3 linked regions of the Macaca fascicularis genome follow. The protein of the gene in region 1 interacts with the protein of each later gene in a biochemical or structural test. Links are inferred from orthologs where the notes say so. Each region holds a gene or a part of one and is shown in the gene's direction. Other genes may lie near its edges. The genes, in order: FGFR2, FGF7 and FGF10.

The links.
Region 2: the proteins of FGFR2 (region 1) and FGF7 form a complex in vitro, tested with the Homo sapiens proteins (3 studies listed by BioGRID). The link is inferred for Macaca fascicularis from reciprocal best matches to the Homo sapiens genes FGFR2 and FGF7.
Region 3: the proteins of FGFR2 (region 1) and FGF10 are reported together in a solved structure, tested with the Homo sapiens proteins (3 studies listed by BioGRID and IntAct, with this or other methods). The link is inferred for Macaca fascicularis from reciprocal best matches to the Homo sapiens genes FGFR2 and FGF10.

What each region holds. Positions count from the first base shown.
Region 1 is NC_088383.1:130,601,833-130,606,172, reverse strand, and holds the start of FGFR2 (fibroblast growth factor receptor 2), read left to right. Parts: upstream 1-1,496; 5' UTR 1,497-1,969; intron 1,970-3,313; exon of another isoform or gene 3,314-3,478; intron 3,479-3,847; exon of another isoform or gene 3,848-3,990; intron 3,991-4,340. UniProt on the Homo sapiens protein: Tyrosine-protein kinase that acts as a cell-surface receptor for fibroblast growth factors and plays an essential role in the regulation of cell proliferation, differentiation, migration and apoptosis, and in the regulation of embryonic development.
Region 2 is NC_088381.1:25,997,588-26,000,670, forward strand, and holds the end of FGF7 (fibroblast growth factor 7), read left to right. Parts: intron 1-205; coding exon 206-309; intron 310-1,393; coding exon 1,394-1,588; 3' UTR 1,589-2,583; downstream 2,584-3,083. UniProt on the Homo sapiens protein: Plays an important role in the regulation of embryonic development, cell proliferation and cell differentiation. Required for normal branching morphogenesis. Growth factor active on keratinocytes.
Region 3 is NC_088380.1:44,932,191-44,936,426, reverse strand, and holds the start of FGF10 (fibroblast growth factor 10), read left to right. Parts: upstream 1-1,346; 5' UTR 1,347-1,619; exon of another isoform or gene 1,620-1,710; 5' UTR 1,711-2,083; coding exon 2,084-2,408; intron 2,409-4,236. UniProt on the Homo sapiens protein: Plays an important role in the regulation of embryonic development, cell proliferation and cell differentiation. Required for normal branching morphogenesis. May play a role in wound healing.

The sequences.
Region 1 (4,340 bases):
ATCCAGGTTAGAGGACTTGACCAAAAACATACCCTCCTACCAAGCATATAGAGGGATAATTTTACTTAAGAACCAGTTTTTATTTTGTTGCTATCAAACTTCCAAAATATAATGTTATAGCCTTTTGCCTGAGACAGTTAAATGGATTTCTTACTTGTATGGCTTTTAAGTAACTTGTATAAACGTTTTCTGTGCTATATTGTGAATAAAAATGATTTTCTAATCATGTGGTACCTTGAAAAATATTTTTGTAAATGTTATGAAGTGTGCAATGTTAGTGACACAGGTGCAAATACGTTTCTAAATGCAGGAAAAGTCTGTTTTCCAAGTCAGGTTTGTTCTCAATGCTTCATCTATCTTTAGGCCTCAAAAGGATTCTAAAGCATTTCTGGGTTTAGTGACCTTTTCTAAAGAAAAATAATTAAGGTTTTAATCTATATGTCTTGAACTTAAGCACAACTGCTCAGGAGCTGGATGAATAAGGAGGGAGAAAAAGCATATTTAAAATAAATTATTCTGAAGACATGGCTTAGTGAAAAGGTGAATGGAAATAGGAACTTTAACCAGTTACAGCTTGGCGTGCAGTTGAAGAATCAGATTTTGCATTTATGATTTTGAATCTAAGATTCAGAGGGAGGAATTACTTTGTTCAAGGTCCAGCTATTTATGGTAGAGTCTTTAGACTCCTTTGAATTTCGTTTTATTAATCCAAACATATATACTAAACACTTTTTTTTTTGGATGCAATTTTTGACTTTTTCTGAGAGAGCCACATTCAAGGTCAGGCTCTCCTAGTAGCCAGCTGTGTGATCCTAGGCAAATTACTTAACCTCTCTGATCCTTAGTTTCCTTATCAGAAACTGGGAATAGTACCCTGCAGGGTGGTTGGGGAGACGAAATAGAATCACCTATGTAGTGTGACCCTCACATACTAGGTCCTCCATTAATATTCAGTTTTTTCCTCTCATTTCTATTGTTTAGAAGGACAGAAAAATGCAATGTCCTGCGAACATTTCCAAGTTGCTTTCTCTCCTCCAAATGCTTCAGTTGCCTGACAACCCTCCCCGCAGTACCAAGAAGGCGCATTTTAAAGTCTCTTTACGGGGAGGGCAGGGTTAGAGCCTTTGGTCACTTGTTTTCTAACTTGACATAAAACAACGTAACGCAGCCGCTCAGCGAGCCGCTGGCCAGCCTCGCTCGCCCGGGGAGGAGGGAGGAGGTGGCGCGGGGCGCGGGACCAGGCCTTATTCGGAGGCTGTCGCTGCATCCCTACGGCCGGATCGCGGCCGGGCCCTCGCCTCCCCGGCCGGTGTCTCCGGCAGCTCGGAGGCGTCGGGAGCCGCGCGGGGCTCGGGGCGGCCCGGGCGCGCGGCGCTGATTGGCAGAGAGGGCGCCGCCGTCCAGGAAACGGCTCGGGTTTCAGCGGGGGCGTGACCCGCCGCGAGGAGGCGGAGGCGGCGGCAGCGGCGCGGGCGGCGGCGGCAGGAGAGCGCGGTGGAGAGCCGAGCGGGCGGGCGGCGGGTGCGGAGCGGGCGAGCGAGCGCGCGCGGCCGCCACAAAGCTCGGGCGCCGCGGGGCTGCATGCGGCGTACCTGGCCCGGCGCGGCGACTGCTCTCCGGGCTGGCGGGGGCCGGCCGCGAGCCCCGGGGGCCCCGAGGCCGCAGCTTGCCTGCGCGCTCTGAGCCTTCGCAACTCGAGAGCAAAGTTTGGTGGAGGCGACGCCAAGCCTGAGTCCTTTCTTTCTCTCCTTCCCCAAATCCGAGGGCAGCCCGCGGGCGTCATGCCCGCGCTCCTCCGCAGCCTGGGGTACGCTTGAAGCCCGGGAGCCTTGGCGCCGGCGAAGACCCAAGGACCACTCTTCTGCGTTTTGGAGTTGCTCCCCTCAACCCCGGGCTCGTCGCTTTCTCCATCCCGACCCACGCGGGGCGCGGGGATAACACAGATCGCGGAGGAGCGTTGCCATTCAAGGTAATCGCCGCGCAAGACGCCTCGGGGAGCTTCCCCAGTCGGGGACGTGGACGCCAGGGGAGCCCGGGACGCCGGGTGCACAGTCCTCTGGGCGGGGGGCGCGGAAGGACTGGCATTGTGGAGGGCCCTCCGTGTCCTCTCTCTGTGGCTGCATAGGTGATGGGGGAGGTGGGTGCGTGCTGACGGCCGGTGTTCGGGAAGTTCTGCCTCTGCCACCCCCATCCAGATGCTGACATCTGCCTCTGGCGTTGACGCCCCCCTCCCTGTCAAACCCTGGCGGGCGCATTCCCGCTGACTGGGCACGTTTCTCCGACCCCAGAGCAGACTGGCCGAAGGTTCGCCTGCCCGTGGCACAGCCCCGCAGGCCGGGTCCCAGGGGGCATCTCTGAGGTGCTCCATCCGTGGGTCCTGGGAACTTCCGTCCCATCCAGGCCCCACGGAGACTCGTTTTTCGGGAGGGGGCCGCTGGGGTGGGGCCGGTGACATCCCGTAGGGGTGGCGATGGTCAAGGGTGGCACTGTTGGGGAGGCGACGGCTCCAGTGCCTGGTTTTCGGTGCCGGGGCGCCCCTCGCCCACAGCCGCCGTCGGCGCTGGAGGGAGCGCAGCGCGCCTGGGGCTAGGGGGCGAACTGGACCGACTTTTTCTAGTTCGTCTGCTTGCTCTGCCGCAGCGGCTGGGAGATGTCGAAAGCGCAGGCGAGTTCTAACTTGCGCGCTCATTCTTGCTCATTCTTTCGGCGACGGGGCCGCGCTGGGGAAATCAGCCGAGGGCCCTGCGTGGCGCTGGCTCCGACCCTCGCGGACCGCGAACCTGGCGCAGGAGGCCGGCCCGGGGGCACCAGCCTCCGTCGCTCTCCTCGCACCCCACTCCCTTGCAGATCGTTCTCCAGACCCTCCTTCTTTTCGCCCAATACAATAAAACCTACCCTTAAAGGCAAACCTGCTTTCAAACTCAGGGCACCCATTATGTGTTTGGTGTGAAACGCTATCAACATTTAAAACTCCATTGTCCCCCTGGTCCCAAATCCCTGTAAATCTTCCACCGGGCTCGACTCATTTTCATCTGAAAAGCCTGTTTAGTTTGAATAGAAAAGCAATCAGGCGCCCCTCTCCCTTTCCCTGGAATGTCAATTAAAATGCAGATTTCTCTGAGCTCTTTAGCGCCCCGAGAAGGGGGAGAAAAACAGGATATTTCAGGCAAACAAATGAAAGAAGTGCTGCCCTGAAAGGGGGTGGTGGTGAGGAGCACCCCCAAGCTGCTCGCAAGTTCTGATTGGACGCAAGCATTAAACTGGGAGGGCATTGTGGTCCTGAGTCAGTGTGTGTGTTTTGAGATTTCAATTTGTTGAGGAATTTCCCCCCCAGACTTGACCCCTTGACAGCTCCCGCTCCTACTCAGTGCTGGGGAGAAGTAGGGAGGCCTTAAGCGAAGAGATGGGTCTGCACTTTGGAGGAGCCGGGCACTGTTGACTTTCCTGATGTGAAATCTACCTAGGAAGAAAACGCCAGGTGCTCCCGGTGGCCGAGCCAGCAGTGTGTCGACAGATCACCCCTTAGGTGGAAGCCCAAAGCGGAGGGCATTGTATTGATCTGCCTTCTTGGAGGGCCGGGGTTTTGGGAATGTCATGGTAAATTGAAGAGCCCAGCACAGGCCTGGCATGGGGACCACTCCGCAGCCAAGCCCTTCCTGCTTGTCACTCTGCCTGTCTTTGGGGGCAGGCTTGTGCCGAGGTGAAAATGGACCGGGGGGGGGGGGGGCGGGCGGCCGAGAAGAGCCATCCATCAGAGGGAGGGTGACAACTCCTCCCGCGTGCAGGCTGAGAAGAGAGTTCCCTTTCAAGGGGAAAAATAAACACGCTGGGGCTTTCACTGGGGCTCAGACTCCAGGAAGGATTATGGCATTGAAGGCAGGAAGCCGGGATTGTGGCCGCCAGCGGCATGCTGGGCCTGTGTTCCCAACACCGAGCCTGGGGACCTAATTATCCTGCCTAGGAGGTCGCACCATACTTTTGTCCACTTGGGTGAGGAGCTGTGCAGACCTGTCGCCTTAGGTCCCCGCCTTCCAGAGTTTTGGGGAGGGGGCTGCTGTGGGGCTTGGACCTGGAAATGGCTGAAATGCAAATTTCTAGTGCAAGCTAGCAGGATGATGGAATGGCTTGAGATTCAGCGGAGAGCCCTGTCCACCTTTCTCTGCCTGGAGCCAAGGAGGCTTCTCTGGTTAGGGACAGGTAGGGGAGCAGGCTGGGGAAGGAGCCTGGGGCGAAACCTCTGCGAGGACTTAGGATTGTTCCTGAAGGCGTGTTAGAGGTAGAAAATTCCCCTGCATTCTGGAAATGCTTAGTAAATCAATGAGAATGTTTGTGTACTTTCC
Region 2 (3,083 bases), on another chromosome or scaffold:
CCCATCAGTTTGTACTTCCCTTATATAATGACTATTCTGGTGTTTGTGTGTATCTGTTGTGGGTCGGGGTCTTGGGCTGAGTAAATAATCACATTAAAAATTTTTAAAACTTCCAATTAAAACAGAAATAAGAACAAATGGCCATTCTTGGATCATCTGCAAAGCTGAACGAATACTTGACATGTCTTTCTGTGATTCCTTGCAGATATCATGGAAATCAGGACAGTGGCAGTCGGAATTGTGGCAATCAAAGGGGTGGAAAGTGAATTCTATCTTGCAATGAATAAGGAAGGAAAACTCTATGCAAAGGTATTGATAATTGATAGCTTAGGCTTAATTTTTAAAACTAATTTTTGTCAAAATATCTCACCTTTCTGAAAAGTAAAAATGGAATTAATTTATCTCCAACTGTATTAATATAATGATTTTATTAAAACACTTTTTACTCAAACATTAAGAAAAAAATGTTTTCTGTGTGACTTTGGACAAATGGCTTGTTCTTTGGATTTTGGTTTCTTCATCTGTAAAATGAGTTGAATGAACTGACCTCTAAGCATCCTTCCAGCTCTAAAATTCCATGTGCATTTTAGATATTTAAAATCCAAAATTTCCATTTGCCAGTATTAAAGCTCTTTTTGTTAAAGGTCACCCAACTTGCACATTGCTGACATGAAAATTCTTGGGAAAAAAATCTTGAAATGTTTAGTTCATTTATCAACATCAATCTCACAATCATGGGCTTTGAACTGTAATTATTCACATTGTTCCCACTTCACTACAATGCAAAATATGTAACAGTTCATCCCACTATAATAAAATATAATTGGCTTTCCTTTATATTCCCACAGCTCAGCATAATGCCTGGGACAGGCTAATTATATAATGATATAGGTTTAATTGAATGAACAAATGATTGCATGGATGAACAAACAAATTAACCTTTTATCTTCCATTACCATTGAACACAATGTAGAAGTAAATAAAGAAAAGTTGTGAAACAAGTCTCTCACTTGAGGGAGGCAGAAGTTAGGCTAATTACACCAAATTTCCAGTGGTTAAAGAATGAGTGATGTGGGAATAGTAATATGAGGCCTGTTACTTAGGGGGAAATAGGTGCTAATTTTAAAGAATAGTTGACATGAACTGCCAAAAAGCTACACATATTTCATAACTAACTGTGTATTACGTGGTGTTTTTATTTTAAATTTAAGATACCTTTTTATGCAAATATACCACATAAGTATAGCTGATAAACCACATTTGGCCTGCTCAATCTGAGGGTTAAAAAAAGTCATGTATGTTTCAATTCTACCAAATATTACCTGCTTACTCTTCGTTTAATTGAGCCTCTCTAAAAATCATCTGAATAATGTTTGTTTGTTTGTTTTAACAGAAAGAATGCAATGAAGATTGTAACTTCAAAGAACTAATTCTGGAAAACCATTACAACACATATGCATCAGCTAAATGGACACACAATGGAGGGGAAATGTTTGTTGCCTTAAATCAAAAGGGGATTCCTGTAAGAGGAAAAAAAACGAAGAAGGAACAAAAAACAGCCCACTTTCTTCCTATGGCAATAACTTAATTGTATATGGTATATAAAGAACCAGTTCCAGCAGGGAGATTTCTTTAAGTGGACTGTTTTCTTTCTTCTCAAAATTTTCTTTCCTTTTATTTTTTAGTAACCAAGAAAGGCTGGAAAACTACTGAAAAACTGATCAAGCTGGACTTGTGCATTTATGTTTAAGACACTGCATTAAAGAAAGATTTGAAAAGTATACACAAAAATCAGATTTAGTAACTAAAGGTTGTAAAAAATTGTAAAACTGGTTGTACAATCATGGTGTTAGTAATAGTAATTTTTTCTTAAATTAATTTACCCTTAAGAGTATGTTAGATTTGATTATCTGATAATGATTATTTAAATATTCCTATCTGCTTATAAAATGGCTGCTATAATAATAATAATGCAGATGATGTTATATAAGGTATATCAGACCTACAGGCTGCTGGCAGGATTTGTCAGATAATCAAGCCACACTAACTATGGAAAATTAGCAGCATTTTAAATGCTTTCTAGTGAAAAATTATAATCTACTTAAACTCTAATCAGAAAAAAAGAATATTCTCCAAAAAAATCTATTATGAAAGTCAGTAAAATAGATAATTTAACAAAAGTACAGGATTAGAACATGCTTATACCTATTAACAAGAACAAAATTTCTAATGCTGCTCAAGTGGAAAGGGTATTGCTAAAAGGATGTTTCCAAAAATCTTGTATATAAAATAGCAACAGTGATTGATGATAATACTGTACTTCATCTCACTTGCCACAAAATAACATTTTATAATTCCTCAAAGTAAAATTGAGAAATCTTTAAGTTTTTTTCAAGTAACATAATCTATCTTTGTATAATTCATATTTGGGAATATGGCTTTTAATAATGTTCTTCCCACAAATAATCATGCTTTTTTTCCTATGGTTACAGCATTAAACTCTATTTTAAGTTGTTTTTGAACTTTATTGTTTTGTTATTTAAGTTTATGTTATTTATAAAAAAAAAAAACCTTAATAAGCTCTATCTGTTTCATATGCTTTTAATTTTAAAGGAATAACAAAACTGTCTGGCTCAACTGCAAGTTTCCCTCCCCTTTGTGACTGACACTAAGTCTAGCACACAGCACTTGGGCCAGCAAATCCTGGAAGGCAGACAAAAATGAGAGCCTGAAGCAATGCTTACAATAGATGTCTCACACGGAACAATACAAATGTGTAAAAAATCTTTTGCCACATATTCTTGCCAATTAATTGGATCATATAAGTGAAATCATTACAAATATAAGTATTTACACGATTTTAAAGTTAGAATATATTTGAATGCATGAGTAGAAAAGTATCATATTTTTAAACTATGTGTATTTAAATTTAGTCATTTTCTAATCTCTAGAAATCTCTGCTGTTCAAAAGGTGGCAGCACTGAAAGTTGTTTTCCTGTTAGATGGCAAGAGCACAATGCCCAAAATAGAAGATACAGTTAGGAATAAGGGGCCCTGAATGTCATGAGGGCTTGAGGTCAGCC
Region 3 (4,236 bases), on another chromosome or scaffold:
GACATAGATACTTCATTCCAGTACATGTTTAGGCATTCCTTCTAGTTAAACGTTCCCTAGTTTAGAGTCATTCTTAAAGAAGTGGTCCTCTAGGAGTTGTTTCTTATTCAGATTGGGATGGATTATCACAGTATTTCCTTTTTTGTGCCTCTTAACTCTTGGCAAAGGCTTCCTAGCCTTGGACTTAGTTCTGTCAATACCTGGGCTGTGAGCTAGTTTCTGCGAGCAAGGGGGGAGTTGGAGTGGCGTTAAAGAGTGTGAAAAGGAGAGGAAGACTCCTAGAGCAGTGATATTGTAAAACAGAGCCCTTTAAACATAAAATGTGAAGATAGATAAAATTAAAAAAATAAAAAAATAAAAAACCTCCACTTTCTGACTAAGTGCAAAGGAAATTGCATAGAAAAGAAAACAGACAGCAGGGTATTCAGCCAAACTGTATGGTAAAATCTTTGCGATCGCCATAAAGTGCGTTTGCTTTGAAGTGCACGCGTGATTCAGTGAAGGGCTCATGTTAGCAATTAGAAATCGGTTATTTGGGTCCCTGATTTCATTTGCGCCAAGAGAGAGGCAACTTTTAAGGGTGACGATAAATCTCCCTGAGCTTAAAAGGCAGAAAGGGCCAAAGTGTGAACTTTTTACTTCAGCAACGGAAGCGAGAAATCAGTGATTCATTAAAGAGGAGACCTCCTTGGAAGCTGGCAGCAGAGGAGGAAAGGACGCTAATTATGTCTTCCTTTTCTGTGCTCGCTCCGATCAGTTTATAATCTGCTGCTCTGGAGGGTTTAAAATCCTCAGCATCTTCTGCTTTCTCCCAGCCCTCTCCTCTTCTCGGAGTGAGAAGGGGGAAAAAGTCAGCCAAGCATCAGGCTCCAGGTGGCTCTCAAGTACTTCACTGCCAAAAGAAATGGGGGTGGGGGGGAGGATATCCTACGCTGGAAAACAAGTGAGAAAGGGGCTCCCCAGAAGGGATTAGTTCAGGCTGGAAGACAGCAAAATTCGGAAAGCTGGAGGATACCGTCAGCGCCGTGGCCCGCGCTGCGAGCAGGACGCTTTAGCAACGAATTTGCCAGAGCTAGAGGCGCCGGCGGCGGCTGCGGCCGCAAGAGCAGCTGCGAGGAAGGGACCTGGCAGCCCCCAAGCTGGATGCAAAGGCATCGCGCTCTCTCCTCGCTCCCCTGCTCCCCCACCCCCTTCTCTGCCCCTTTCACCCTCCCTCTCCCTGGCGTTCCCAGCAGCGTAGGGTTTCAGATGTCCCACCGCCGGTTGACCCCCTCCCCCCTCTTCTCCACCCCTGCAAATGAGGTTTGACCAGCAGAGGCAGAGCCCACCTCTGGCTTAGAATCACTGACATTTAGACTCCAGGTTTCAACCTGTTTACAAGCGGACTTTCCAAAGGAAGGGGGTGGGGGATAGGGCCATACAAAACATCAGCCGCCGTCCCCCAAAACAAAAAGTGGCTTTCGGCAGCCTTCAAATCGGCAGGCACCACTAAAAACAGAAGGGAAGAGAGGGAAGAAAACAACGGCGACTGGGTAGCTGCCTGCAGTTCTGACAACTCCAAAGGGATACACTTGTAGAAGCGGCTCGCAGGCTGGGGCTCCGCAGAGAGAGGCCAGAAGGTGCCAACCGCAGAAGGGCGCAAATATCTTCCCCTATTCCCCACCCCACCTCCCTTGGGTTTTGTTCACCGTGCTGTCATCTGTTTTTCAGACCTTTTTGGCATCTAACATGGTGAAGAAAGGAGCAAAGAAGAGAACAAAGTAACTCCTGGGGGAGCGAAGAGCGCCGTGACCAACACCACCACCGCCACCACCAGCTCCTGCTTCTGCGGCCACCCACGTCCACCATTCACCGGGAGGCTCCAGAGGCTCAGGCAGCGGATCCCAGAAAGGAGCGAGGGGAGGCAGCCGGCTTTTCCAAGGAGTTATGGATGTTGGTGCATTCACTTCTGGCCAGATCCGCGCCCAGAGGGAGCTAACCAGCAGCCACCACCTCGAACTCTCTCCTTGCCTTGCACCAGGTCTTACCCTTCCAGTATGTTCCTTCTGATGAGACAATTTCCAGTGCCGAGAGTTTCAGTACAATGTGGAAATGGATACTGACACATTGTGCCTCAGCCTTTCCCCACCTGCCAGGCTGCTGCTGCTGCTGCTTTTTGTTGCTGTTCTTGGTATCTTGCGTCCCTGTCACCTGCCAAGCTCTTGGCCAGGACATGGTGTCACCAGAGACCACCAATTCTTCTTCCTCCTCCTTCTCCTCTCCTTCCAGCGCGGGAAGGCATGTGCGGAGCTACAATCACCTTCAAGGAGATGTCCGCTGGAGAAAGCTATTCTCTTTCACCAAGTACTTTCTCAAGATTGAAAAGAACGGGAAGGTCAGCGGGACCAAGAAGGAGAACTGCCCGTACAGTAAGTAACAAATGCGTGCTCCCCTCCTTCCAATTATCCACCCCCAGCCCACACGGGGGGGGAAAAATCTCTTCCAGATGTGGCCAGCTAAATATTTACGTCCCCAACCCCTGTAAAATGATTAAGTGGAATACTTTCACACTAATTCACCACCCGCCCCCCCGCCGCGTGTATACATTGTGCTGCCGCATCGCCTCCCTTAAGCGCGCTCCCTCCACATCCCCCACCCCTTGGCGCCCTGTACACCCCTTCCCTCCAGCCTGTCACTCGCCGGACCACGCAGGGCGCTCAAGAGAGTTGTTGCAGAGCAAAGATGCCCCTCTTCTCTCTCCACCGCCCTTCCCACCTCCTCCAAAGAGCTCTCTTTCCTTCCTTCTGGAAATGGCTCAAGTCAACACATTTTGTTTCTTTTCCCTGGAAATCTTGTTAAGTTTGGGACAGGCTCTTCAAGCTGAAAATAATCATCCGCTGTCAATTATAGGGGCTTTGTGGGAACTTTATTTAAGAAAGAAAAATCAATTCCACTCTCTCCCCACCCCCATCCCCTCACCCCAGCACCTCTAGATATGAGGGAAAAGCATTTTTCTGGTTTTGATTTTTGTTTTGTTTTGTTTTGCGTCCCTTATGTTAGTTTGAGTGATTGCAGTCCATGAAGTTAGCTTTTCAGGCACCACCGCTGCTATTTGTCTTCTGCCTGCCTTCTCTCTTGGTAACATGATGCTCGTGTCTGCATTGTCAATAGCGTATGCACTGCTTCGTGGTGTCCTGTTGTACTGTTTCTTCTGAAACCTCTCATATTGCAGAGCCATACTACTACAGCATTGTAAACATCTGGGGCTGGATTCACACAGACCTCACACAAATTTCATTGTCATTCTTTTATTTTCAAAGTAAAAGTCATAAGTCTGTTTCCATGGCTATAGTTTATCCTACAGTGTGACGTTTTCTCCTCAGTGTAAATTATGCCTGGGATCCATAGATTTTGTTCTTGCCTTTTCCCTCTCTCTTTCCTTCTTTCTCTCTTTCCCTTACTTCTTTCTTGCAGGGGTGTGGGCTGGTTGAGGGAGAGAGAACTAGAAGAGGAGGGGTGGATATTGTGTCTCTTCTTGAATCAACCCAGCAAAGCCAAATTACTCTGTTGACTTCCTTTCTCAGTTATTTTCAAGTGGTGAGACTTATTCATCCCCTGTTGATTATTATGTGAAAGGAACCCAAGACTTTGTAATGGCACACTGAAAACAGTAAACAATGATGTTTAAACATCTTTAGTGACCATTTGGCATTATCTCAGTGGTAAATTCCAAGTCACCTTTAAAGGAGACATTTTTGTGTTCGTTTTTCAGGAATTCTAAGCATAGATTGTCGGCTAACTTAAATACATGAGTCAAGCATTTAAAGATTCCTTGGTTTAGAAAGTACCAAGTACTAATGGGAATGACAGTTGACCAGAATTTAGCATTTTATTTTTGAATACAAATTTACAATAATTAAGAATTTAGTTTTCTTCTGTGGGGATGCACACACACTCAACATTAACTTCTGTTCCTCCTCAGCCACTGGTTCTATTTACTAAAATTCACAATATGTTTATAAGTAATAAAAATACGTGTAGAAGTGCTTTTAAAGTGTTTCATTTTATGTTTCATACTAGAGATAATTAAGTACTACATTACCTGATTCATAGAAAGTAGCTGAAATAATGTCATAATGATGACAATTATTTTTGCTTAAAAGTCATTTGTTACCTGAATTCATTAGATCCTATGTTTATAACCTTTAAGGTTTTTGATTAAAATTTTAAAAACTTTATTTTCTTCTAAAATAAAAT